2 linked regions of the Lonchura striata genome follow. The protein of the gene in region 1 purifies or fractionates together with the protein of each later gene. This does not show direct contact. Links are inferred from orthologs where the notes say so. Each region holds a gene or a part of one and is shown on either strand. Other genes may lie near its edges.

Region 1 (12,279 bases):
GTGAATCAGTATAATAAAATGTAATAATAGATCACTTACAGGCTGATGGGTTTATATCAAACAATTTTAAATCAATAATAGAGAATTCCTAGAGTGTTATTTTTAGTGTGAGATGTTTGTATTACATTAATTCAAATAATCTAGGGGACTCGGTGTAAGATGATTTGCTTAAATTCTTAATGAATTCATCATCATACATCTTGGGAAGTTCCTGTGCCTGGACCCTGATGGTCTTGCAGATCCAAGTCACCATGCTGCTGAGATCCTGAGTACTGAAAGGCACTACAGAGGTAAGATTAATCTCAAGCTCATGAGCCTATGAGAACTTAACTGGATGATCCTTGATCCACAAAAGGATTCAATGCTGCTTTTGAAACATTTGTGTCTTCTTTATCTGTTGAAAACTGTGGATTGCACAGAATTGTTCCCTTTCCCATGCAGATGTCCCAGCTTCCAAGTGAAAGCCCTAGCATTTTTTGCATGGTCATCTCACTTAGTGAATGGTGATTTCATTCAGCTCCAGGTTTGCCTGTACCTGAGCTGTTAAAAGAGAACTGCCAATAGCCATTCCTCATGGTGTGGAGATAACTATAGTAAGAAATTAAGTCAAACAATGCAATATTTTCCAACCAAGAGGGTCATTAAACCATCTGTTACTTATAATTTGGTATTCACATACAGTTCTTGGGAAATTTCAGGAGAAATCCTTGGCTAAGAAGTATCAGAATGTTGGAAGTCAGGTATTTCTCATACGAATTCAGTACAGACTTTTATCCTGCCTGAGAGCAATTTCAAACATGTGACACATTTCTCAAGTTGCCTCTCTTATCATGAGAGAGTAACATGGTCTGTGATAAAAGGTGACACAGCTATGAAAGTCATTCTTGCTCAGTTGTCTATATCAGACTACAGGGGCCAGGGCTTTGATGCCTAGCCAAGTAATTGTCTGGGAAGGGGAAATAAATTCCAGTAACTCTCATCTTTCTTACCCTGCTGAGAAAAATTCAGCTGCTTATGGTTTTTATCACTTAGCCACTCCTACTTTGTCATATTCCTTTTGTGAAAGTGTTAATAACCAAAGCAGTTGAGGTGATGCCTAACTGTTTGGGGGGGAGAAAAAGGAAAGAGGGAAATAGTCCAAATGACAAAACAGCATGTTTTTTATTTAGGGTAGAGCACATTCAAGAGACAAAAGCAGGGTGCCAGGCCGTTCATAGAGTTGCAGCTGGTTTCAAGCATTACTTGATTTATCAGTATGTGTACAGGAACACAAACATACATATTTTGCTACTGAAAAATGTTTCTCTTGAACACATGTCATTTTGGCTTGATGGAAGTAAAAATTAGTTCATTCCCAGTTGTTTCTATTTGGATGGTCAGTTTCTTCAGGACTTCCAGTCCACCTCCAGAGAGGGGAAGGTGACGAAATCTAGGTAAAAGAGAGATTTCATTTGTGTGTATCTTAAAAAAACAAACAAAAAAAAAAAAAAAAAAAAAAAAAAACAAATGAGTGATCCCTGTAATCCTTACCTATATGGAAGATTTAAAAATTATTAATCTTCAGTCCTGCAAAGTTAATTCATTTAATGACTTTCTGACATCTGTGTAATATTTCTAGCCTGTCCACTCTGGGACAAAAAAGATAACATTTCTATAACACAAGGCGGCAAAAATACCCAGCCAAGCACAGTATTTCAGAATATAAACCATTGTAAGAGAATAAAAATTAATATATTCTGGAAGATAAATTGAAGGATAATCCATTAGTAGCAATGCAGTTTTCAGTAGCCTTTGTAGGAGGATCCAAGTTCAGTATTTCTTGAAGGTGGAATGGTCTGTTACAGATTTTGCTTTCATCGTTCCCCTTTTTCTTTCTTGGTCCGTAGGGACATCCATGTACCTCATCACTGAACAGCAGGAAGGATGTGGGAAACAGGGAAGTGACTGATGAACAAGTGTATTGCAGAGCTGCTGCTGGTGAGCAACAAGAAAGCTTGGTCAAAAAGTTCTCCACCACTGTCTTGATAAACTTCTTCTGACCATATGAAATACAGGCTTTAATAAAGTACACAACAAGATTTAATTGTATTAGAATTTCCTGTGGAATACTGGGGGAATTAAGTAACTTCCTCATATTCCTTCTTAAATGTTTTCATCTGACTTTACCTTGCCATATCCTGAGTTCTAGCTATCATCTGCATGTTGACCCAAGGCCCACTTTATTTTTTCACTCTGTCCATTTTGAATGAGTTTTGTCTGAGGCTTTTTGTCGTTTTCTCCAATGAGAACAAATTATTTTGATATGCCTTGGTATATTCAGATCAAAATAAAAGTGAATCTGAAATCTTAGTCTAGAATTCCCAAAGAGATTTTGAATACTCCAAGGCTTATATTTGAATTTTAATCTTGTTATACACTAGATAGTATTTCAGGAGGGAAACTTCTTTTTACCTATGTCACTATGAAGGCAATGGGAGCTCAGCTATCCAAACTAATAAAATTTGGCTTGGAATACAACATTTGGCACTTGAAGCATGTGGATTTCAAGGCTATCCAACAGTTTAATTTTGAAATCTAGCACCATTAAAATAATACTTTTGGTTTTTTAGAAATAAAGTTTGGAATTTCCACAGTGTGTTTATTGCCAGTAACAGAAGACTAAGATAACAAGTAGGGACTTTTTCTCTAGTGGCTTTTATTTATTATTAGATTAAATTTTTGTTCTTTCTGTGAAGTGGACAATGCTTCTGAATAGAAGAAAATAAGAGAATAGCTATTCTGTAGTCTACCCAAATTATCACACTTCTGTATTGTTTTATCTGGCATCTTTGTGGATTCTGGTTGCCTTCAGACTAACCAGACAGGAAGTGTCCTAACGGAAAAGCTGGTGCCTGAGAAAGATAATGGAGGAAGTAGATGCATTTCTTTTTGCATACGGTATTTAAGAAATTCCAGAAAAGGAAAAAAGCAGATGATAAAACTTTCTTAAGATGTTTCTTTATCTTTTTCTTCTTGCAATAGATGACAAGTTAGATGTGGAGTACAATTGTGAGGTGTGATGTGGGTTACAGGGTAATGCGTTGGTGTTCTTTTTGTAGTTAGGTACAAAGTTACAGTTCCTGAAACAGACACAACCCTTTAAATAGATATGCATGTAGATCTCATCCTTCCCATCCAGAGATGAAAATTATAGGGAGTCAGTGATGCTCTCCTCCCCCTCTTGGGGCTATACAGAGATTGTATTATTGTCAGGTGGTGAGAAAGCAGGTGGAGGGGAGTCAGGAGAAGCAATGTTTTGGGGAAGCTTTGGGAACCAAAAATCCAGGTGCGCTGGGGAAGAAGACAGTGTATAACCCATAGAGCAAGCTATTGAAGTTGCTGAGAACGAAAAGGTTGAGGCTGGCAGAACATTTTCTGCTGTATTAGCCATGTAATCAGCTGCCTTCATACATGTCCTCCAGCTTCATGCTTTTTCAGTTACTTTATCCCATATTAAAAGCACTACCTTGCATGTGGTACCTGAAGGGCATTCCTTCTTTGCTGATGTGTGTTTTCCCTCTGAGATTAGTTCTTATTTGAGTTACAGCACAGTCCTCTGGCTCTTTTTCTTTCTCTTTGCATGGAAGCTTTTCATCCCAGCTGCTTCTGTAAAGCATCTGAAACTTCGAGGCTTTCTTTATTCAGATCCCCAGTGTACATCCCAAGAATATTTCCTGAGATGTGTGAGGGTTGCAGTTTGAATGGGAGACCTAAGTATGGACTTGCTGTAACACCTCTTTGATATGAGGCTGAAGAACTGTTGAGTCAGACTTTGCTGCATCCTATCACCGGAATGTCAGATCAGATGAGTTTCCTTCTACCTTCTTTTTTCTTATATTTCCTCTGTCAAAAGGACAGAGGAAATTTCTCTTCCTTCACCATAGGTCCTTGGCCAAAAAATCACAAAACCAGTGGTGAAAGTTTTGAGAATCCAGATTCTGCAAAAGGTTAGCTTTCCAGTTTTCCCCTAATAGCCTCCATGAGACAGGAGGAAAAAATGCAGGAAAAAGTATATAAACGTTGGAAAACTAACATGTTAGAAAATGTGCATTTTGTTCAAATAATTCATTAACATTTCAAGAACTTACCTCTTTTGCTTAGAGGAAGCTAATGTAGGTATTTAATAGGATTGCAGAAGTAGGAGTTAAAGCAAATAATTAGCACAGTTCTGAAGTGGTTTCTTTTCTTAAATTCCAGACAAGTCTGATGTAAACTTTAATTTCCTGAATGACGCTTGTGTTTTCTTATGCCAGGGCAAAAATTGTGTTCAATATTTCCAAACTCCATTTTACAATGAATAGTTGTTTTATCTTTGTTTGTCCATCAAAGCCTTAGAAGTCTATTTCGATTACTAGATGCACTGAAAAACATGTGGCTACATCCCAGTGCTTAATTATTTTAATCTTTTTTGCATTTAGTAATATTCTTGTAATACTTGTTTCATTCCAGTCCTCATTACACTCTGCATATGTCAAGATTTTTTCCATTGGTACTATAATACTTATCTCACTGTGGATGTAGATGCATCTTCTATTTTTACCCCCAGCATCCTCCTCTGTGCTGTTTGAATAAAAAACTAGATTATCTGAACTCTCAAGGTCAAGTGCTAAAACTTGTCAGCTGATCTCTGTTTGTTTACAGACAGAACAGACAGTTCTGAAAATAACCCTACTTGGTGCCCATCTTCCTATTTTGAGGTTGATGCTGAGGGTAGTAGGAGCAACAGAAATGTACATATTCTATTTAAAATACATAGAAGGCCTACATTTGAAGTTGTTTAAAGAGAAAGTTTTTAAAATTTGTTTGGCAGATTTTTACTTCCCTTAGTAATATTTATTGGCTAACTCTGCTCTTACCTAAACTGTCTGAGTTGAATTTGTCTGATCACTCAGTATAGTAATCCCTCTGGTAAGGATCCAGCTCAAGTAAAGTTAATGGCAGCTGCCCAGTTTAATTTACTGAGAGCAGGATCAGAGTTATTTCCTATTTAATGTTATCTGATGAAGGGCTTGATTAAAACTTTTCCAGTATGCAGATATCACCTCCTATGTTTAACTTTTTTTCCGTCTAGAAACTGACTTCCCAGAAACAAGGAAATACTGCCCTTTCAGCTTAGCTTCTGATGATTGTTTAAGCAGTCCAAGCAGAAGAGTTTCATTTCTTGCTTTTCTCTGACTATGATTTGAAAGTAATTATTTGCAACTTAAGTAAGAGAGTACACTTTCGTTCAACAAGACCATTTTCTCTGCATCAAAATCACATTGTGTAGATGTGTTATTTCCTATCATGGATAGCTCTTGTATTTTTGGATTATATAGCAGTACTTCCAGAACTGTACTCTGCTCGCATTTTGTGACACTTAGGAGTGTTTTGTTCTTCCTCCTCCTTCTCCTTCTCTACCTCCTTCTCTGCCTTCTCCTTCTTCATATTTTCCTTCTCCTCAAAAAAAAAAAAAAAAAAAAAAAAAAAAAAAAAAAAAAAGATGGTGATAATAAAAAGAAAATATTATGGTAGAACCCACTGTAGCAATTTCTTCATTTTTAGAGATCAAAAATACTTAGGAACATGAGTAACAACACCTCTTAAACTGGTAGCACAGTTTTCAAAGGAAATAATGAGTCATGTAATGTTATTTACAGAGCTGAGCATTGTTAGAATGGTTCTGAAAACTCAATCCAAACAAAAATATTTTTGTTAAAAGCAAATTTGAATAACTTTTTATCTGAGATACAGTTGCATTCAATTACTTGGACTTACAATCATTCTTTCATTTTATCAGTTGCTTGCAGGATCAGATCTGAAACAGATTTTTTCCAATGTAGTAGACACTATATTTACAAGTGTTACTATTATTTTTTCTGGGCTGTGTCTAAAGCAGCAGAGGGCGCTGAGCCAACGGACACCGCCCGATATGGGTCTCTTCCTCCCTGCTCTGGATTTCCCCATCCAGGGATTTCCCACTCTGTACCAAGGAGAGAGAGCCTTTATAAAGAGCAAGCTGGAGGTCTTGTAATAAGCTGTTGCAGAGCAGCAAGATCTCACAGCGCTTCTTCACAGAAAATAGAAAGTAAACTTTTGAATTTACTCTCTTTACCCAGTAACAGCAATTACAAATGTTTAAAGAGATGGGAAGAACAAGCCAGGCTGTGATAGTAATTTTGTGTGTGTTAAGAACTGGTAAGTTGGGGAAGGTGGGGGTTGGTGGTGTTTGTTTTATTTTTTTAAACTTTGTTAAATGTAAACTGACCTAGAATTTGCTGTTTGATATTTATTTCTCTTTTCTCCAGTTACCTTTTTATTTCAGTGATACAACTGTCAATTAAGTAGCTCTGTCAAAATGTCAGGAAGTTTTTTTTTGACATTTACTTTGAGCTTTTCTGTGCTCTGCTATGACTCAGTCATTTTCCTATTGAGTTTGCTAAAAGACAGTCTAGGAGACAACTGCAGTATATCACTGGATGCTTGATATTTTACTCATTCCTGACATTAGCAGGCAAGTTTGGTACTAAATGTCCTGTTGAAAGTGTTTCTGCTGTTGTCTTTGCTATCTACCTGCTACCTCTCCCCTCAAATGTTACAAAGTTTTAGAACCAGATCCACCTGACAAAAAAAGTTATATTGTGCCAATGCATTTATTTATATTTGGTTGATGCTGTTTTATTCATGAAAACTCAGTATCTGAGTCTGTATTGTCTTTGACAAAAATAACAATGATTGTGGGTTGTTTTGAATATGTAAACCACTGTATGAGCTTTATTAGTTTAACTTCCACACAACCATAAATTAAAGAAATGAAGCATAAAGACCTCATATCACAGTAGAACATGAGAAGAAATAGGAAGATAAAAGTTGAGAAAGCTGCTGAATTGATGTGTGTTTTCCCTTTTGTAGTTAAAGCTTTTGAAATGGAAATTATACCTGCTGAGAGAATTGTGGCACAGATTGGAGATGCACTCATACTCACATGCAATACTACTGGCTGTGCATCACCAAGTTTTTCCTGGAGAACACAGATGGACAGCCCCCTTGGAGGAAAAGTCAGCAACCACAGGACATATTCTACATTGACTATTAATCCAGTTAGCATTGTGAACTCTCATTCTTATCTTTGTACTGTCATATGTGATGAGAGAGAGAAAAAAGAGAAGAGTGTCAAAGTTGAACTTTACTGTAAGTAAAAATGTAAAATTCTCTTTAAATAATACATATTGATAGGAAACTCAATAGTTGTTTTAGATATTGTGGTTACCAGTTAACTTTTAATTCTAGGATAATGAGTGTTATAGCACAACATATACTTCCTTCTGAGATTCCTTTATGCGTCTGTTCAGGGCACATTCTTAGACCATTTCTACTTAACTTTCTGCATTGAAGATTGTATGTACTAGTGTTATTTATTCTTATTTTGGTAATTCTTGAAAGCCAGAACATGCACTGCCTGAATGCATTCCCAGAGCTGGGGGAATAAAAATCAAAGCCTTCATCGTTTGCAGCAGAGTAATACAGATGTCTAAACCTACCAGCACAGAAAACAGGATAGCACTAGTGTATGGATTTCTCTGAATGCCTATAGTTAAGCAGTTGTATCATTGCCTAGGTGCCATACTGAATCTTACTGATCTTTTGTGGTCATGTTTCAACAATTGTACATATAAACTTCCTGTTAGTATATGAACTGCTTATAAAGAACCTGTAGGTCTTCAGATCAAGATATGTCTTGTAATAATGTTGATAGAATGTCATGTTCTGAGCACCTCTAAACTCAAGACATTTGGTGTCTGGATCTTGCTCTTATGTTGACCCTACTGTTCATTTCTGCTAGTCTAAAGAAATTGTTTTTATTCTTTTAGCTTTCCCCAGTGATCCTATCATTGAGATCAGCCCATCCTTAGTTGCTGGAGAACCAGCCACTGTCATCTGTAAAATTCCTGATGTATATCCTTCTGATCATCTGGAAGTTCTCCTAAAGAAAGATGAACATGTTCTTCATGAGAAATATTTTTTGGAAGATGACAGCACAAATACAGAGACCAAAAATGTGACATATACATTTCATCCCCTGGCTGAAGATGCTGGAAAAGAGATTACCTGTGTGGCCAGGCTACCAATTGCTGATATGGATTTTGAGCCCAAAGAAAGAACATCTTCTCAGAGACTTAATGCAAATTGTAAGTATTTTTGTACAAAGGCTTTGGCTAGTTTAGCTTTCAAAGTTGCAAGCAAAACATCTTACTAAGTCTGGAAAAATTGTTCCACTGTGCTACTGGCATACATATTTTTCATTTCTTTCTTGGTATTCTGTGACATGTACCTCTAGAAAAGCTAGTGTTAGAGATGTGCATGTCATTCTTCATTTACATACGGATCTTTTCTTCCTTTTGTTCTCTTACAGTTGGTCCACAAAATACTGTCATTACTGCATCTCCAGGCAACTCAGCAATGGAAGGAGACTCTCTGAACCTCACTTGTGTGACTCAGAGTAACCCACCAGCACAAATAGTTTGGAGTAAATATTTGGCTGAAGAAAACATTCAGCATCTGATAAAAAACAATGTTCTTTCTATTCCCCATGTCCATTTCAATGATTCAGGACTGTACATCTGTGAAGTAATTAATCTGGTAACTAATAAAACACAGAAAGCAACTGTGGACATTATTATACAAGGTACAAATCTGTTTGAGTTTCACTTGTATTATCCAGTTCCTAACTGGCTGACCTCTGTTAGGTTGGAGGATGCTGAAACACTGAAAATTAGGAAAATATGGGGCTTTCCTTGCTACATATTCAGGATTCAGCTTCAATTTAAGGCTGTTCCTCATGCACTGTAATTTTTCTTTCTGTATCTAATTTTCAGCTAATTCTCTGAGTACTGCTGTTGTACATGCACGTTTTAATACATATCCCCACAATGCAGCACTATAAGTCACAAAAGAGTCTGAGAAGGTGGTGGGACACACACTGTTACTTCTGTGAAATGTAATGTGCATACCAGTATCACAGGGACCTAAGTCTCCTTCTTTGAACTAGTAGTTTTAATCATTAGCATTAAATTCATTAGGCATTTAATGGTAAAACTGTTTTGGACATAATAATATTGTTGTTGTAATATTTTTTTATTGATTGATTGACTGCTACTGTTTTGACAGAGCCAAAAGTCTTAGATTGAGTTTGGGATCAAAACCAAAATAAACAGATCCTTGAGCTAGCAATTCCTGCTTTCTTAAAACTTCCTCCATCTTTTGTACCTTTGCATTATTCTAACAGCCTTTTCTTTTGTCATGCAGGTGCTCCAGTCATTACAAAACTCTCCATTGAACCTTCTACAACAGTTCAGGAGGGAGAAAATGTTTTCATACAGTGTTCTGCTGAAAGTAACCCTCCTCCCAAGATTATTTTAAGGAGAAAATCTGACAATGCAGACATAGAGTCTTACAGTGCCAGGAATATTCTTCGTCTTCCATCTGTGATGTTCCAAAATGGAGGAGACTATGAATGTGTAGCAGAAAATAAATTTGGGAACAGTAAAAGTGAAATCACACTTAATGTGAAATGTAAGTATGTGTAAAATTTTCCCAGTATTTTATAAATAATTACTTAGTTCTTCAGTGATAAATATAACCATCAAATTAAACGAAACTCTGTGAGAACAAAGAATCATCATCGTCCTCTGCTTTTCCCTAAAAAAGAGCAGTGCTGATGAACAAAACAAAATAACAAAGTCTTCAATGTGGTGACAGTCTTTAGTACAGATCTGAATGAGTGAGAAACTGATCTACATGGTTTACAAGTATTTGGTTGGAATGTCTAGACTATGGAGGGTTTGTACAGAAACTCTGATACCCTGTGCTTTACTTTTGTTTTGAGAATTAAAAAGAAATTAGCTTTTGGAGGGGTGACAGTCTAGTATCCAATAAGACATGTTGGACCCATCTCTTAAAAATCCAGTGATGATTAACTATAGGACTCTTCCTTTCAGATGGACCAAAGAATACAATGATCACTGTTTTCCCTACTGCTGCTCTTAAAGAAGGAGAAACTGTGACAATGAAATGTACTAGTTCTGGTAATCCATCTCCTGTGATCTCCTGGAAGAAAAAGAAGGCCACTGGAGAGTCTGAGAAAATTTCTAAAAATGCAACTATAACTATACCAAACTTGAAAAGTCAAGATCTGGGGCTTTATGAATGTGAAGCTTATAATCAATTTGGCAAGGAAGAAAAAGCTGTGGAATTATATATTCAAGGTTTGTAGATCAAGACAGAAAACAAGTTTTTTGGTTTATGTATTTTAGGTCCAGATCTTCTTGAAGAATGAGGTAATTGTGTCTTTGATGTCAATGGAGTTAAAAGGTGGCCTTAATGTCACTAAGTGATTTAGGAAGCTTTAAACAATGAAGCATGAAGTCTGCCTTAGTACAGATTGATTATGAAAAGTTCTTAAGTTGATGGGGCTTCCATCACTCCATCCAACTGCTGAGTTAATGCATGAGGTAAAGAAGGCATGCAGTGCCTGGAAGGAAATATCCTTCCAAGCAGGCCTCAGTGGATATCTGCATAGGAAAGATTCAAGGAGACAGTACATGCTGAAGCTGCTCTATGGAAGCAGCTCCTTACTTCTTCCCTAAGCTTCAGCTCTGTTTCGTGCTCTTACAAGCTGCATTTCAGCTACAAGAAATGCTGATTCCTCAACTTAGATGGAATGATAGCCAAGTTTCATTTTCAATAGTAATCAGACTTCTCTGCTTTAACTCTGCTGCTTCTGCCTATTGCATAGCAACAGTGTCTTGCTTAGGGATCACTTCTGCCACCAATTCAGCTCTCTTCCCTGTTCTTTTCTATTTTTATAGCTGCACCAAAAAATACACTTTTGAATTCCCCTTCAAGCAAAGCGAAACAAGGACAAAGTGTTACTATTCCTTGCATATCTGCAGATTTTACATCTCTTAGGACTAGTCTGTAAAAGAAAGTTGGTGATGGGTTCACAACCCTTGAAAAAGTAGATAGCAAATATACCACAGGCAGGGCTCGACTAAGGGATGCAGGAAAATACACATGCATACCATTAATGAACTGGAGGAGCAGTCTCAGTACATAGTACTTATGTCAAAGGTTAGTTAACATAACTGCTGCACAGAGTTCATACTAGGATTTGTTTTACACAGAGTGACATCTTCAGTTTCATTAAGAACGTTTTGTCTTTAAAAAACCTGACATGAGTTGCACAGGTTCTTGTCATAAGTGATAGGATCTTAATGCTAATGAAAATGTCTGTCCAAAATAGCAGATGTAAAAAATAATTGCTGCTTCAAAATTTTTATATTTCCACTTCATCTTTTGAAAACAGGATATAAAACTGGGGAACCTTGTGGAAAAAAAAAAACAAAACAGTTCTAGGACTCCTTTTTTTGCCTTTTCTATTTCTCTTCTGTTGAAAGAGGACATCAGCCTCTGGGTTTGTTGGTCTGTGCCCTTTCATGAACTCAAACCAATAAACTGTGAATTTGAAATAAGAAAAGAAGAAGAGGCTCTATATAATGTAAAAGTTATGCAACATACTCTATCAATTAATAAAATGTTCTTTTTGCCAGCTGCCATTGGCTTCAGAGGTGAAGGATAGCTGGTGACAGAGCAGTGTCTAAAGCTACAGGCTCAACTACTACAGTGGTCCCATTACTGGATTAGTATTTTGCATGTAAATGCTGCTGATGCCTCATGAGTTTTGCCTCTGTTTGTTGCTAAATCCCACCTTGAATTTCTTCTCAGTTCCTTTCCAAAATATTACTGTGTTAGTATATCCATCAGAAAATGTAAAAGAAGTAGAAAATATCACTGTTACATGTAGCACATACACCCTCAGAGATGGTCCTGAAAAAAAACCCTTCAGGAGAAATTATTCTGCCATCAGTGAATGGAAATTTTATGCTCTGCAGTGTCAGCAAAAATTATACACGTATATATGTCCTTCCTATTTTCAATAATGTTGGAAGAACATTACAGAGATTGAGATAGCTGTCATTGTCTCTCTTAACCTGAGCTGGTGTGGTAGCTTTAAGGATAGGGCCACAAAAAGGTGATTCCTGGCTGCATTTCTGCCCACATGCATGGACAGTGAGACTAATCCAGAGAAGGTTTCACAAAAAAGATAAATATTTACCTTTTAAAATATGGTCTTCCCCTTGAAGGATGAATTTCAGGAGGTTGAAACATACCTAAATGTTTGCTGGGTATAATATGTGGTAT
Region 2 (12,289 bases), on another chromosome or scaffold:
AAAGGGAAACGGGACACTGGAATGACAGAGATCCAAGGAGTTGAAATCTTGGAGCTCTTTTCAAACAAACGCCATTGTAGTTCTCAGAACAGTGATTAAGCACAGATAACAGCTTTATTGTGCAAATTCAGGGAGGCCCTCTTGCTGCACAGAAGGGGAAAAAAAAAAAAAAAAAAAAAAAAAAAAAGAAATTAAGTCAGCCAAATAAGGTTGCTTGAGCTGCACCGAGCCAGGAAAGAGTCCAGGAGATGACGCAGCCAGAGGAAGCTTTTAGTCAGCTTCCTTCAGAGCCTGGAGCAGGGCCAGAGCCACCTCGGAGGAGGAAGAGGGGCTCCTCTGTGGAGTAGCCGCTGACCAGCAGGGACGTGGCCAGGCCAGCAGGGTGCTGTCCCCAGGCACACCCAGTGTCACAAGCACAAGCTTTTTGAATCCTTTGGTTTCGGTTCATCAGCTGTCTTTCAAGCAGCTACTAGGGACTTAGAGTTTGAGGAGAATTTAGCTTCAGACTAGACATTATACATAAAACTGAACAAAGTTTCCTCTAGAGACAGAGATGCCATTTCCTTTCAAAATAAACGAGTCCATATTAAGACATCTTATGAGCCACCCTCATGAGTAAAGCAAGAATTGTAATGAAACTTCAGGCGTGACTAATTACACAAGGTAGAATCACCCCAAGGAAAGGGCTGCAACGCCCTGAAAAGATGCTTTAAAAAAAGATGCTGCTTGTAGATGTTATGGTGATAGGATATTTGCAAGAAGTGAGCCCCTGATTGGAGACACTCTGTTCCCCGTAGGATTCTTACAGCAGAAGCAGCAGACCTAAAGCTTTCCTGGGGCCCCTTTTATTGGGTACACCTCATTGGGTGCTGCCTCCAGCAACAAATCAAGAGGGCAAAAATTAAATAAAGGACTCAAGTAAGATGTTTAATCTTCTAAAACCTCTTGTATGACAGTCTATATGTAACATTGTCACCTTGAAGTTTTATGAACTGAATCATGACTACCAATTCAGATCAGGCACTTGGAACAGTTCTTGCTCACAACAGTGTAAAACCACTATAACTAATGGGTTTTGCCCAGACAGGGACAGGGTTTGCCATAAGATGAGAAAGGAAGATTTTACCAGTATGTAAAAACAAAGTGAGTATTTGTTTCTCATCAATAGTATAGTTTTAAATCCCCGTTTAACTTTAATATAGAGGGCCTAAAAGTACCAAACAAGCTTTTACTCAGTCAAGCTTAATTGCTTCACATGACATGAAGTAAAACCTTACTATTCTTGCAGAACCTAGGGACCAAGCTGTTGAATACTATACAAGCTAGGGTGCAAAGGCCTTTCCTGTTTTGCAAAATCCCATGGTAGGAATAAAGCTACAGATAATTCACTGCTTCCTAGTTTCAGTAGTTTACCTGGTTCCACTGTAAACTCAGCATGTTTTAGGTATTGCTGCTTCTGAACTACAAAGTCATCTGAAAATCACCAACAGGAGTGATATTCTGTATAAAGCAAGGTCTTTGGGAGCATTCAAATGCATCTCTTTACATCATATATCTGATGGCATTAGAAGAAACATAATGGATTGAGTTTGCCTAAAAAGTTAAGCACACACGTTAAACTTGGATCAGTGTCACCAAGCTTCCCAAGTTGTACTGAGTGAGGAAAGGAAGAGATAGCCCCAATGTGTCAGTCATGAAATGAGACAGAAGGCATCTAGAATGCTTCTAGAGTTCCTTCATAGCACAATGGGATCAGGAGAAAAGTGCCCATCTACTAAAGTCACAGTTTTCATCACTATCCTTTCCCCCTTCAAGACATGAACGAAATTCCGCAAGAGGAGAAATAAAGAAGACAAATTATCCAAAAAAGTGTAGCCTTCTATTCATAGTTGCCATCTTGTTGCAACATTTGGTAGCAAGTAGCCACAGACACAAGAAACTAATTAACCAGAGGATTCTCCTGATACACACCTCAATCTCTCAGTTATTTTTCTTCTAAACAGAACCCTGAAGTTCAAAGAACAACAGGGGGAAAAAAATCTTCTAGGACCTTTCAAGTCCTGCTGGGAACTAGGACCATCAATTCAAACTACAGACAGGGTTCATAAAGATCCTAATAACTATTGCTATACTCAGCTTCAAACTAAGGTATAATAAACTCTGGACTGGCACCTTTTCCCTTATTACCTTGTAAAACTTTCTGTATTCACAAGCCTAGGTTTGATGAAAGCCCTTTCTCTACAATGTTACCCAGAACAGAACTGCCCAAGTCGTGGTGACAGGACTGTTGAGTGTGCACCTCACATGTGATGAATGCTCCTGTTTCACGTTCAGTGGCCCATCCATTCACAGAGTAAGCACATACATAGGCAAAACAGTCAATGAATCCCAGAATAGAAGCCTTGCATCCACCAGTCACGGAGAAATCAGAGCCTACTCGTGGCAAATAAACAAACTGCACACAACTGGAGGATAGACTTCTCAGAGCTTGCCAACAGCTCAGTTTTAGCACTCAAGTACTTCAACCCTCTGCAGTACAAAGTAGGGGGGGGAATTATATACCCTTTCTGGTGTCTGCTTTAACTGTTCACACTTCACAAACTTTCCAGAACACAAAATGCTTAAACCAGAGTTGTATCACTAGATTAAACCGTGAAGGCTTCCTGTTGAGAGAGTATGGCAAGATCAGCAGGCTGATGCATGATGGACTTTCTACACAGCCTACAAAGCCTCCAGCAACCAAACCCCCCCATTACATGTCACAACAGCAAATCATGTGCACTAGTTCAAAGGTTACCAGAGTTAATCTTGGATTCTTATTAATAGTGCTACACAGCCTAGTGTCACTCATAGCAAATCTCCCATAACAAAATGGAAATCTCCAGCTACATGTGCTAACATTTAGCCTAGCTTGAGGAGGTGTAGAGACTCAGAACTCAACAGGTTTTGCTGCTTAAGCCACGCAGCAGCATGTTTCTGTAAGCCTGGTGAGATGAATGATAAGAGCTACCAACCAAGTAGTTTTGACACAAATGCTTTTCCTGCCCAGCCAGAACTGTTCCCTAGAACATTTCCTCCATCTGTCTTCTTCACAATGGATTTATTTTTGTGATGAAGCCCACATAAACCTACATCTAACTGCCCAGGTTTCACCCACATTTGACCTTGATTTTTTTTTCCTTGACTTAGGAAAGCCTCTTGCGCTTTACTGTTTTGTTAATTAAGCAGCTATTAACAAATCTTAAGCTAGCACAGTAGTAGTCATGTTTATTTCACATGAAGAACTGATTATACAGTTATGCCAGCATATCCTGCTCCTGCAAAACAAAGATCAAGAAATAATGTTTCAAATATTATTTCAGTTGGGTCTGTAACTAGAGCAGATGAGGCAGGAAACCAAAGGCTGATACAGCAGCAGGCCTGCAGCTCTGTACTGCAACAGGCACAGACTCTGGAACCACTCTCTGTAGAGCCTTCAGTGTGCAATACAAAGCATTACACCAAAACACTTGCATTTCTCTATCTGCTCCAGCTTTTAAAAGCTCCAAAAGCAGAACTGCTCTGTCAAAACCAGAACTGCTCTGTCAAAACCAGAAAGCAGCAGACTGAGAAGGTGGATCCAGCCTAGGGTGTGTCTGCGGAGGCTGCAATGAGCACCTCGCAGCCAGCGTTCAGATTCAGCCTGGTGCTGGGAACCCCGCCCCGCAAGCCTCTCTTGTTCAGGATTTCTTGGCCGATCCACGCTAAAAAAAGTCACTCATCACAACTGTAAACTCTCTGGCTAAAAGGTCTCCACTGCATTTTACAGAGATGTCCCCTAACTTGTGTTATTTCTGTTAATCTTACTGAATTTATTACCTGTATGTTAACTTTTTTTGTAAATAAATCTTCATTAATCACTAGTATTTGATAGAAGGCCCTTCTAAAGCCTAAGAAAATACTGTCTTAACCTTGAAGAGGCTGAGAATCGACATCCTTTAAGACGTTGATGTTTAAATAATAATAACCATCATCTAGCTATCCATGCTATCAGAGATGGCATTTAAAACATCAGGAAAATTAGCTGTCAATCAAATAGGTATTCGCTATCTAAAGTAAAAAAAGTAAACTATTAGAAGAAAAGAAAATCACAGTGAATTTCATTTCAACTTCTATTTGCACAGAGGTAAGTTTCTGTTTGGATTTGTCTTTTTCCTCTCCTTTATGTAAACCACAGACTCTTAGCTTAAACATTAGATGTTCTTAGGCCATTTCAGATAATTCCGGTACGGAAACATCCAGAGACTTCCAGCCTGCTCCTTCCTGTTTTATCAATGAAGAGCTGGGACTAATTCTTTCGCTCCAACCAGGAGAAATTAAATGGAAAAACCCCATGCTCCTCATTAGTCACCGAACTCCTGCTGCGAGGCGAGTCAAGTACAGACTTGACTAGACTTTTCTAAAGTACCAAAACCTCTCCAGCCAAGAAATACCTCGAGTCAAGCTGGGACAAGGTTCCCTGGCAACCCGAACTGACTAACTAACTGCAAGTTGTGAAAACCCCAACTTCTCCTCCTCAGGGCGCGCACGAGGCGGCCATGGCAGCGCCCGCTCCCACCAGGCTCCCGGAGCTCGCCCCGCTCCCCCCGGTGCGGCCGCACACGCGGGCGGCGCCGCCGCGCTCCGCCGGACATTTTGGGGCGGAGAGGCGGCCCCGCCGCGCCGAGACCCCGCGGTGCGGGCGCGGCCCCTCGGCCGGGGCAGCACAAGATGGAGGGGCGGGCGGGAAGCTCCGCTCCCCGGGACCCCTCCGTGCTCCTCGCCGCTCCCTCCGGGGCGGCCGCCGCCGGCCGGGGCGCAGCCGAGCGCGGGCGGGAGGAGCCCCCAGGCCGCGCCCGCCCGGCCCCGCGCACCCGCCCGCACCCCGCGGCGGAGCCTCCGCTCTGCCCCGCGCCGGCGGCACGCACCGTTTTCGGCATCTTCCCGGCGGGCTGGGCACGGCCGTCGCTCCTCCTGCGCCGGTGGGGATCCGCACGGGCTCCGCGCTGCTTCTAACGGGACTCCGCGCCGCGCCTCTCCGCCCGGCCAGGCCCCGCCCGGCCCCGCCCGGCCGCCTCCGTGCGGGGCTGGAGCGGCGGCGCCCCCGCCCTGGGAAGGCCGAGCCGGGCGGGCCCTGCGGAGCGGCCCGGGAGGGGCGCGGCCTCGGGGGCTGCGGGGGCTGCGGCGCGCTCCCGTCGGTGCAGGAGCCGAGGGCTTCCAGCGCCCATGAAGTAGTGCCTACACAGCCCCGGTCGCAGAAGTTTATGCGCGGATCGGTGTCATTGGGATTTCTGGTTCTTGATAAAAGCATTATTTAAGAAAATAGCGCTATTTTGTCGGCGACTGTACTGTTCAAAGTAAGACCGCAGCACTGACTTGTGAGCAATGCTTCTGTCCCTTGTTAGCCAGAGCCGCTTGCACACAGGTGCAGCTCAGCGCGCTGCCAGCCCAGCATCCCCGTGCGCTGTTCTGTACAAGATTTTCACAGCCACCTGTTTGATTTAAAAGTACACTTCCAGCTTGTACGGAAAATCACGCTATGATAAGCCAGTCTCTATAAAAGAGTCAGAGGAGTCCTGCAACTTTATTGAAATCAAGGGAGAGAATCCACTGGTACACACACATATCCCCAGGGTTTTTTCTCTCGAGGTTTCAGAGGGCGCAGCCTCCCTTTACCCTGAACTCCCGGCCGCACGTTGCCCTCTTCCTTTCCCCATTGGCTGAGGTATTAGGAAGGCACAGACTTCCCGAACCGCCTACCGCGTATTCCCCCCTTGAACCTGTCATTTTACCCCAAAGTTCAGAAACTCAAGCTTGTGCAGACCCACTTGACTGTTTCAGGATCCAAACTGTCTGGGATCTGCAACAAACCTACTGCTCAAAGTTAGCAGAGACATTAAGACCCATTTCAAAGACTTTAATATCCATACCTTCACCTATCGAATTGTTTGTAGAGACATTAGCATACATCTTCCCTCTCAAGTTCCAGATGCTTCAAAAGCCCAAGGGATTGTGGCTCCCTGAAGCTTGGCAAGTCACATCTGGTCCTCAAGGCTTCTCTAAGGCCACACCCACAATCACAGAATATAAATAAGCAACCAAATTCAAGGATGAAAATAGCAGAGGACCACTGGCAGGCCATCCACCAAAGCTTCTCTTGCCATCTTTGTTTTCCAACCACTGATGGAGGGAATCAAGGGTCACCATTTTCATGGGGATTTAAAGAAGCTGTCTCATCTCATTTGGGACATTGAACACAACTTTCATACAGGAAACTAAGTCCTATTTTCTCCCAGGAAATTAGAAGTCATTCTTTTGAAAGTTAACAGTGTCCAGAAGAAGGAAACTAAATAAATGTAAAGTCTTGTTTTTAAAGAAAATAGGAATATATCATTTTTTTTTCCCCTTGACTTTGTGTCTTATTTTCAAATCTGTTAAACATTTTTGTCTGGCAGGAGATGGAAACAGGGTCCAGGCATTTCATTTGCTTCAGCTGAATATGCAGGTTTCACTTAAACTAGAATCTCTATGCTGTGCCTACATAGGAAAAAACATGAGTATAATTGGATTGATGTAAACTGGTGCAACTTTTCTGCACAGGAATTCACAGGGTGTCTAAGAGGCTATTTTACAAAGTTTTCTTCCTTTTCTGTCTCCTTTTACATTGAGACTTTCTTAGACAAGGGCAAACAAGATTGGTTACACTTATTTCCTACAGAAATAGATACTGACAGAAGACATACAGAACAATAGTCATGTGCTCATGATTTTTTGCCAGGTTTGGATCCAGAAATATTAGGTGTGAGCTTTCTTCCTCAATTCAAGAGATTCTGTGGAGATTTCTTTTATACTAGCAACATATACGATGGGGAGAGGCCAATTCTGCTTCTATTGTAACTTCTATACCAATATTCCTTCATAAGACTTAGGTAACTGGAGAATTCCATCAATCTGTTTGCAAAGGTGATAAAACTTTAGATGACAGGAGTCTAGATATTTCCCTGCCAAATTTAAAGGGCCATAATTTAACATCCAGGGATCTAAAATTTTTCTTCATAGTGCTAATGACAGGAGGGCTAATGAGGCAAGTGAATCCCCATGCCAGTGAAACAATCAGATCCAAAGCAGCTGTATTCCCACTTACATTGTGCCAGGCATTGGCCATGTCCTCAGAAAGTCATAAAACCCCGTGTCAAACAGTCCCAAAGAGTCTGAAGAGCTGAGACAAAGCTTCAGCATAACCTACACTTGTTTCTGACCCCAGAAACTTCTCTTGCCTTTCTTCCCTATTATTCATATCGATAGCCAAAACAAAATACCATTCATGCCACTTTGAAAGACAAGAGTATCCTGTGACAGGCACGTGAATCTCTACACCTCGCTTCCTCTCCAGCTTCTTCTTTCCCCCTTCCCCTTCACTCCCGAGGTAGAGAACAAGACATCTGAAATTTGAACCTCATGGCACTCCAGCCACAGTTCCATGATGAATTCCTGCAAATTCCTGGAGGTGCTGCACCAGGACCTGACCTTCCCTGCAGACCTCTCCTTTAGCAGCTGCTGGGGAGCCATGGTGTCATCCAGCAGCCTTTTGCTGAGCTTTCCCTGCCTGGCCATGTGTGAAGACAACCATATCAGTGGATTCCTTGAGAACTGCAGAGGGGTTACATCTCCCTCTGACTTCAGGGTGAAATTCCAAGGGGGAAAAGCATCAGCTGATTAAAAGTCCTCCTTGCAGAAGGCTGGAGAAATGAGTAACATTACCCAGGGCCTCAAAAATGCTGTTACTCCCATACTGCTCAGCTCGCAAATAATATTAAAGTATTTCAGAATTAGATTAGACCAGGATGACATTAAGCATTCTCCTGGGAAGAGGTCTGGTATTTCACTGGGGATTTATTGTCTTGGTTTTATTTTCATCAAGCCTTTTGTAGTAGCTTCTTTAAAGCAGAAAGAACACATAAATTATTTGTTCTAACATACAGAATTATTTAGCATGAACACTAAACAAGGGGCTGTTTTAACAGCATATGGGTTTTCTGACTAATGAGGAATAACTTGAGTTCCCCATTGCATGGCTTTGACAGAAGATAGAAGCCAAAGGTGTTTCATACTAGAGGTGTATTTCAGAGGGCTGAAATAGTTTGATTCACATAAGTAAAGGAAAGCAAAAAATGAAATTGTTACTGTAGTATGAGAACTGCACCTTCAACACACAGTAGTCCTGGATTGACTCTATTTAAAATGAACAAGTCTGGTTCTGAGGTCTTCTTTGAATAGCAGCTAAACTTCCTTCTCCTGTTCCAACTTTAATGCCGATAGGTTCACAATGAATTGCTGTTGGTGATGATATTGGATCTTTTCAGTGTTTAATTATATTTAGTGGTAAAAAGCATATTTCCTCCCAAAAAAGTACTATCACTCCATTCACACCTTTGCATCTTGAGAATTGGAGTAATCTTGTGCAGTGATTCTCAAGCTGGAAGGATGAGAGGGGTAAAGGGAAAGCACACCACATTCAGGAAGGCAGGATTTGAAAAACCTGGAAATAATTCCATTCACATGCAGCTGCAGTGACAGAGCAGAAGCTGATGGGGCCACTGGATTGGTGAACGCTTTTATCTGATCCCTTTTCCACCTCAAGAAAATGAACTCATTGCAGTATGTGGTCCCAGCTCCTGGCTTGTCCACTCACCAGGGCAGAAATAGATGAAACTGCCTGGAAATCCCAGAGATTTGTGTCTGCCAGATGCTTTGTAAAGCCCTAGTTCCTTATTCCCTCCAGCATATAAATCCCCCACTGGAAGTGACAGCCCTGCAAGGGACATGGAGAAGGCTTTACTAGGAACAATGACTCACTGTATGGCCCACACCACTCATCTCTTCCTGTATATCTGGGGATGTGCTGGGAATATGCTGTTTGTGCAGGGGGAGACTAAAGGGGAGAGTTTCAAACCAGACAAAAGGTGTGCAATGAATGCAATGATCATATGAAAAAAAAATGTAAGAACAACCCATCTGCTAGAATTGTCTCATCTTCATTTTTGCTTTGTTTGTACCATATGGGAGCAAATGTTCATGCTTTCTACATCTTGTACTGCTTGCAGCAAAGTAGGGAACAAAGGAAAATCTAATGGATATTCTGGGACTTTACTCCAAATACTTACAACCCAAATAATAGATACCGTGAAGCACAAAAAAAAAATAATGGGAATTTGTCACACAATTTGTGTGAAAGGTACTGATACTGGCACCTTCTCCTTAGAGCAAGGAGGTGGAGTAAATCCCATTGCTCTGTTCCACTTCAAACCAGTGAAGAAAAATTATTCCTGTGGGTGATGGGAAGAATCAAGGTAGGGCTTTTAATTTTAGAGAAATATATCTAATCTAAAAGGTAACTCCACTGCTATTTATTTTGATAGTTTTGAGGGTGTGATGTATAGCCAAAAGGAAACATGCTTACTCATATGTATTTCTTAGAGGCCATTAAGCATTTACAGTAATCACAGCCAGCTAAAAACATACTGGAAGCAAAATGTAAAACACCTACATTAGCCATTGCATTTTATCCCCTTGAGGCATGTTAAGGAAACTTCCTTATCTGACCATTCAGCAGCCACTCTGGCAGTCACACTCCCACCACCAGAGACTTGAATGCTGGGACCAAAGCCCCTTCTCAACAGGCAGCTCCATGACCTGGTAGGGAGCTCACTTGACTCCCTACACACCCCACTCTCAGACAGTCAGACAAGTTTTCCCTACCAGCTTGACCCCAGGGTTCCCACAGCAGAGTCTCAAGCCTCTGGTTGTTTTAAGTAATTTTATCACGGTACAGCAACAGAATCACAGTTTGTCCTGGTGCCTCCAGGGAGGGACCGTGAACAAAGGACTCCCTGCACTTTTACATCCTCACAGTCTGTGCTGGCATAGCCTGGGATCCTCTGAGTCATGGACTCCTGCTGTGGCTCTGTCTGGTCACCTGGCTGGCACCACCTGACCCTGAGCTCAATCCTCAGCCTGCACTGGAGCCTGCACACTGAGCTACCTGCACTAAATGTATTCCTCAACAGGTACCCACAAAACCTCTGGGACATCCACCAGACCTGTCTTGACCAGCAAAGCCTCACTGTAACAAACCATGATGAAAAAAAAAAAACACTAAATCTCCAAAATCTGACAAAATCTCATGCTCTGCTCTTCATCCGTCTTACTTTCTTAACAGGACAATACAAAGTTTGTAGACATAAAATCTAGCAATTTTTTTTCAGTAGGGCTCAGACTGCCTATAGTTTACGCGCATTACTAATAGGCTTTGCTGAAGAAAGGGAGGAGATTTGGAGTCTTCAGCCAAGATCTTCACAGTTTCAGTGCCCCAAAGAAACAGGCTTTGTGGGAGTTTTCTCCTCTCTTCCCCCTCGCTCCTGCTCTGCCTCCTCAGATGGCTGGTGTGGAGCCAAGATGATGGTACTGGTGTGATGACCATGTAGGGCCACTGCCTTTCTGACTCAGAGGTTGGGAACTTGGAGGCTGTAACAAAGGCCACCAGGCACTTCCTTCCATGGCTTCCAGAGAATGGGAGTGGCCAGTCCAACCTCAGGGGCTGAGAACCAGGCTCCAGATGGTTCTGATACGGGTGACCACTGCATAGGAATCTATATGGAAGTCATCAATTCACACTGGGCTTTTTGAAAGGTATCAACATTTAATAATCAGGACTAACTGTATATAGAATCATTCCTAGATGGTGAAAAGGGCCAAAGAAGGATAAAACCGAGTGTTAATGAGCAAGAACCAGGGAGAAGCCACTTCTGAGAGGGATTTTTCAGGTCATGCAGCTTCACTATTTAAAATTAAGCTTCTGCCAAAGGCATGTGGGTCACCAACACTTGCAATGAGCTATAATAGCAGGAACCTCCAGCTGCAAACAAAATCCAGTTATGACAGCACATAGTGGAAGCAGTAGTGTCCTCTAGATTAGAAACAGAGACTAGCAGATAGCTCTCCTTGGTCCTACAAGCCGTGTCATTGGGTGACTGGGTGGTTTTATATTTCTTTTGACTAGCTATCAAAGTAGTATAATAAGATTTGCTATCTCAGAGGGGGCTGACAAAGTTGACATCTTAACACTTCAGGCAACAAATTCTGTATGTTATGTTAATAGTTTACAAAGAAATACTTCTACATATAATCTCAATTCTTAATTTAAGAGATTAGTTTCCTGGATATTTTTTTTTTGAGCTATCAATGCAAAGAGTTTATTTTTCAAGCCTTTTGTGGTGTTACAGTTGAAGTACTTCAGAGTACTGCTAGTACCAAGAGCCAGAGAGGCAGATAGCAGGACAAGAATAACAGCTGTTTTTCTTGTCCAGGCTCTACACTACATAAAAAGGGAAAAACTGTACAACAGTCTTATTTAAAATCCCACCAACTGCAAAGTTGTAGAACAGATGCAGATTAATATGGAGTCTCATTCTCCATATCTTAATGCTTAATGCACAGTATCTTAATGTCTTAATGCACAGTAATAGTGTAAAATATGCCCCTCTACTTGAAAAGTGTCCATATGCTCATGCTGCATAGGTGTCGAGAACAGCTGGAAAGTCAGGGTCATGTATTTGACATTTTCACTCTGCACACATAGAAATATACCGGGTACCAATGTAGAAACAGTTGTTAAAAAGTTTTTCCACATCCCCATCTTCTCAATCTTCTGGGTCTCCTGGAGATTACCAGCTTCTCAGCCACCAACTGCATGAGAAAGTCACATTTACATTAGCTTTTTAATTCAGACCAGGAGTTTGTTTTTGAAGTTAATTTCCTAATTCAGTGCATTTTGTTTCCCATCACGGTGCAGTCTCATACCTGGTGAACTGAATTCCTTTTGGATGTGCTCCAGGAGTGCACCTATCATGCTCCAGCTGTTGGCAAGCATTCAGTTAATTGGGCCAGAACAGAGCAACTCCAAAATCATCCCACTGTGAAGCACATTTAGTGTTCATGTTAAATAGTCAGCACCAGCTCTTTGTTTTCCATATCTGCTCTTATTTCACCACACTACTTTTTAATGTAGGCATGTTTACCTGTCAAAATTATCCTGACTTGCTTGTGTGTCTATAGAACCTGTTCAAATATTTTTAGCAAGATAGATTTTAATCAGGGTGACAGAAGTAAGTTAGGAGACAAGGAGACATGCAGATTTACTGTGGGGACAGTAACCTCCAAGAAAGACAGTCTCAAATGCAGTCAGAATAGCACCTTCAGCCCCAGGCCATCC

The links.
Region 2: the proteins of VCAM1 (region 1) and MSN purify together in Homo sapiens (affinity purification with western blotting; 3 studies listed by BioGRID, with this or other methods). This does not show direct contact. The link is inferred for Lonchura striata from reciprocal best matches to the Homo sapiens genes VCAM1 and MSN.

What each region holds. Positions count from the first base shown.
Region 1 is NC_134611.1:22,920,177-22,932,455, reverse strand, and holds the start of VCAM1 (vascular cell adhesion protein 1), read left to right. Parts: upstream 1-6,229; 5' UTR 6,230-6,863; coding exon 6,864-7,209; intron 7,210-7,889; coding exon 7,890-8,207; intron 8,208-8,431; coding exon 8,432-8,704; intron 8,705-9,324; coding exon 9,325-9,591; intron 9,592-10,016; coding exon 10,017-10,283; intron 10,284-12,279. UniProt on the Homo sapiens protein: Cell adhesion glycoprotein predominantly expressed on the surface of endothelial cells that plays an important role in immune surveillance and inflammation.
Region 2 is NC_134616.1:6,514,437-6,526,725, forward strand, and holds the start of MSN (moesin), read right to left. Parts: upstream 5,080-12,289; 5' UTR 4,959-5,079; coding exon 4,947-4,958; intron 1-4,946. UniProt on the Homo sapiens protein: Ezrin-radixin-moesin (ERM) family protein that connects the actin cytoskeleton to the plasma membrane and thereby regulates the structure and function of specific domains of the cell cortex.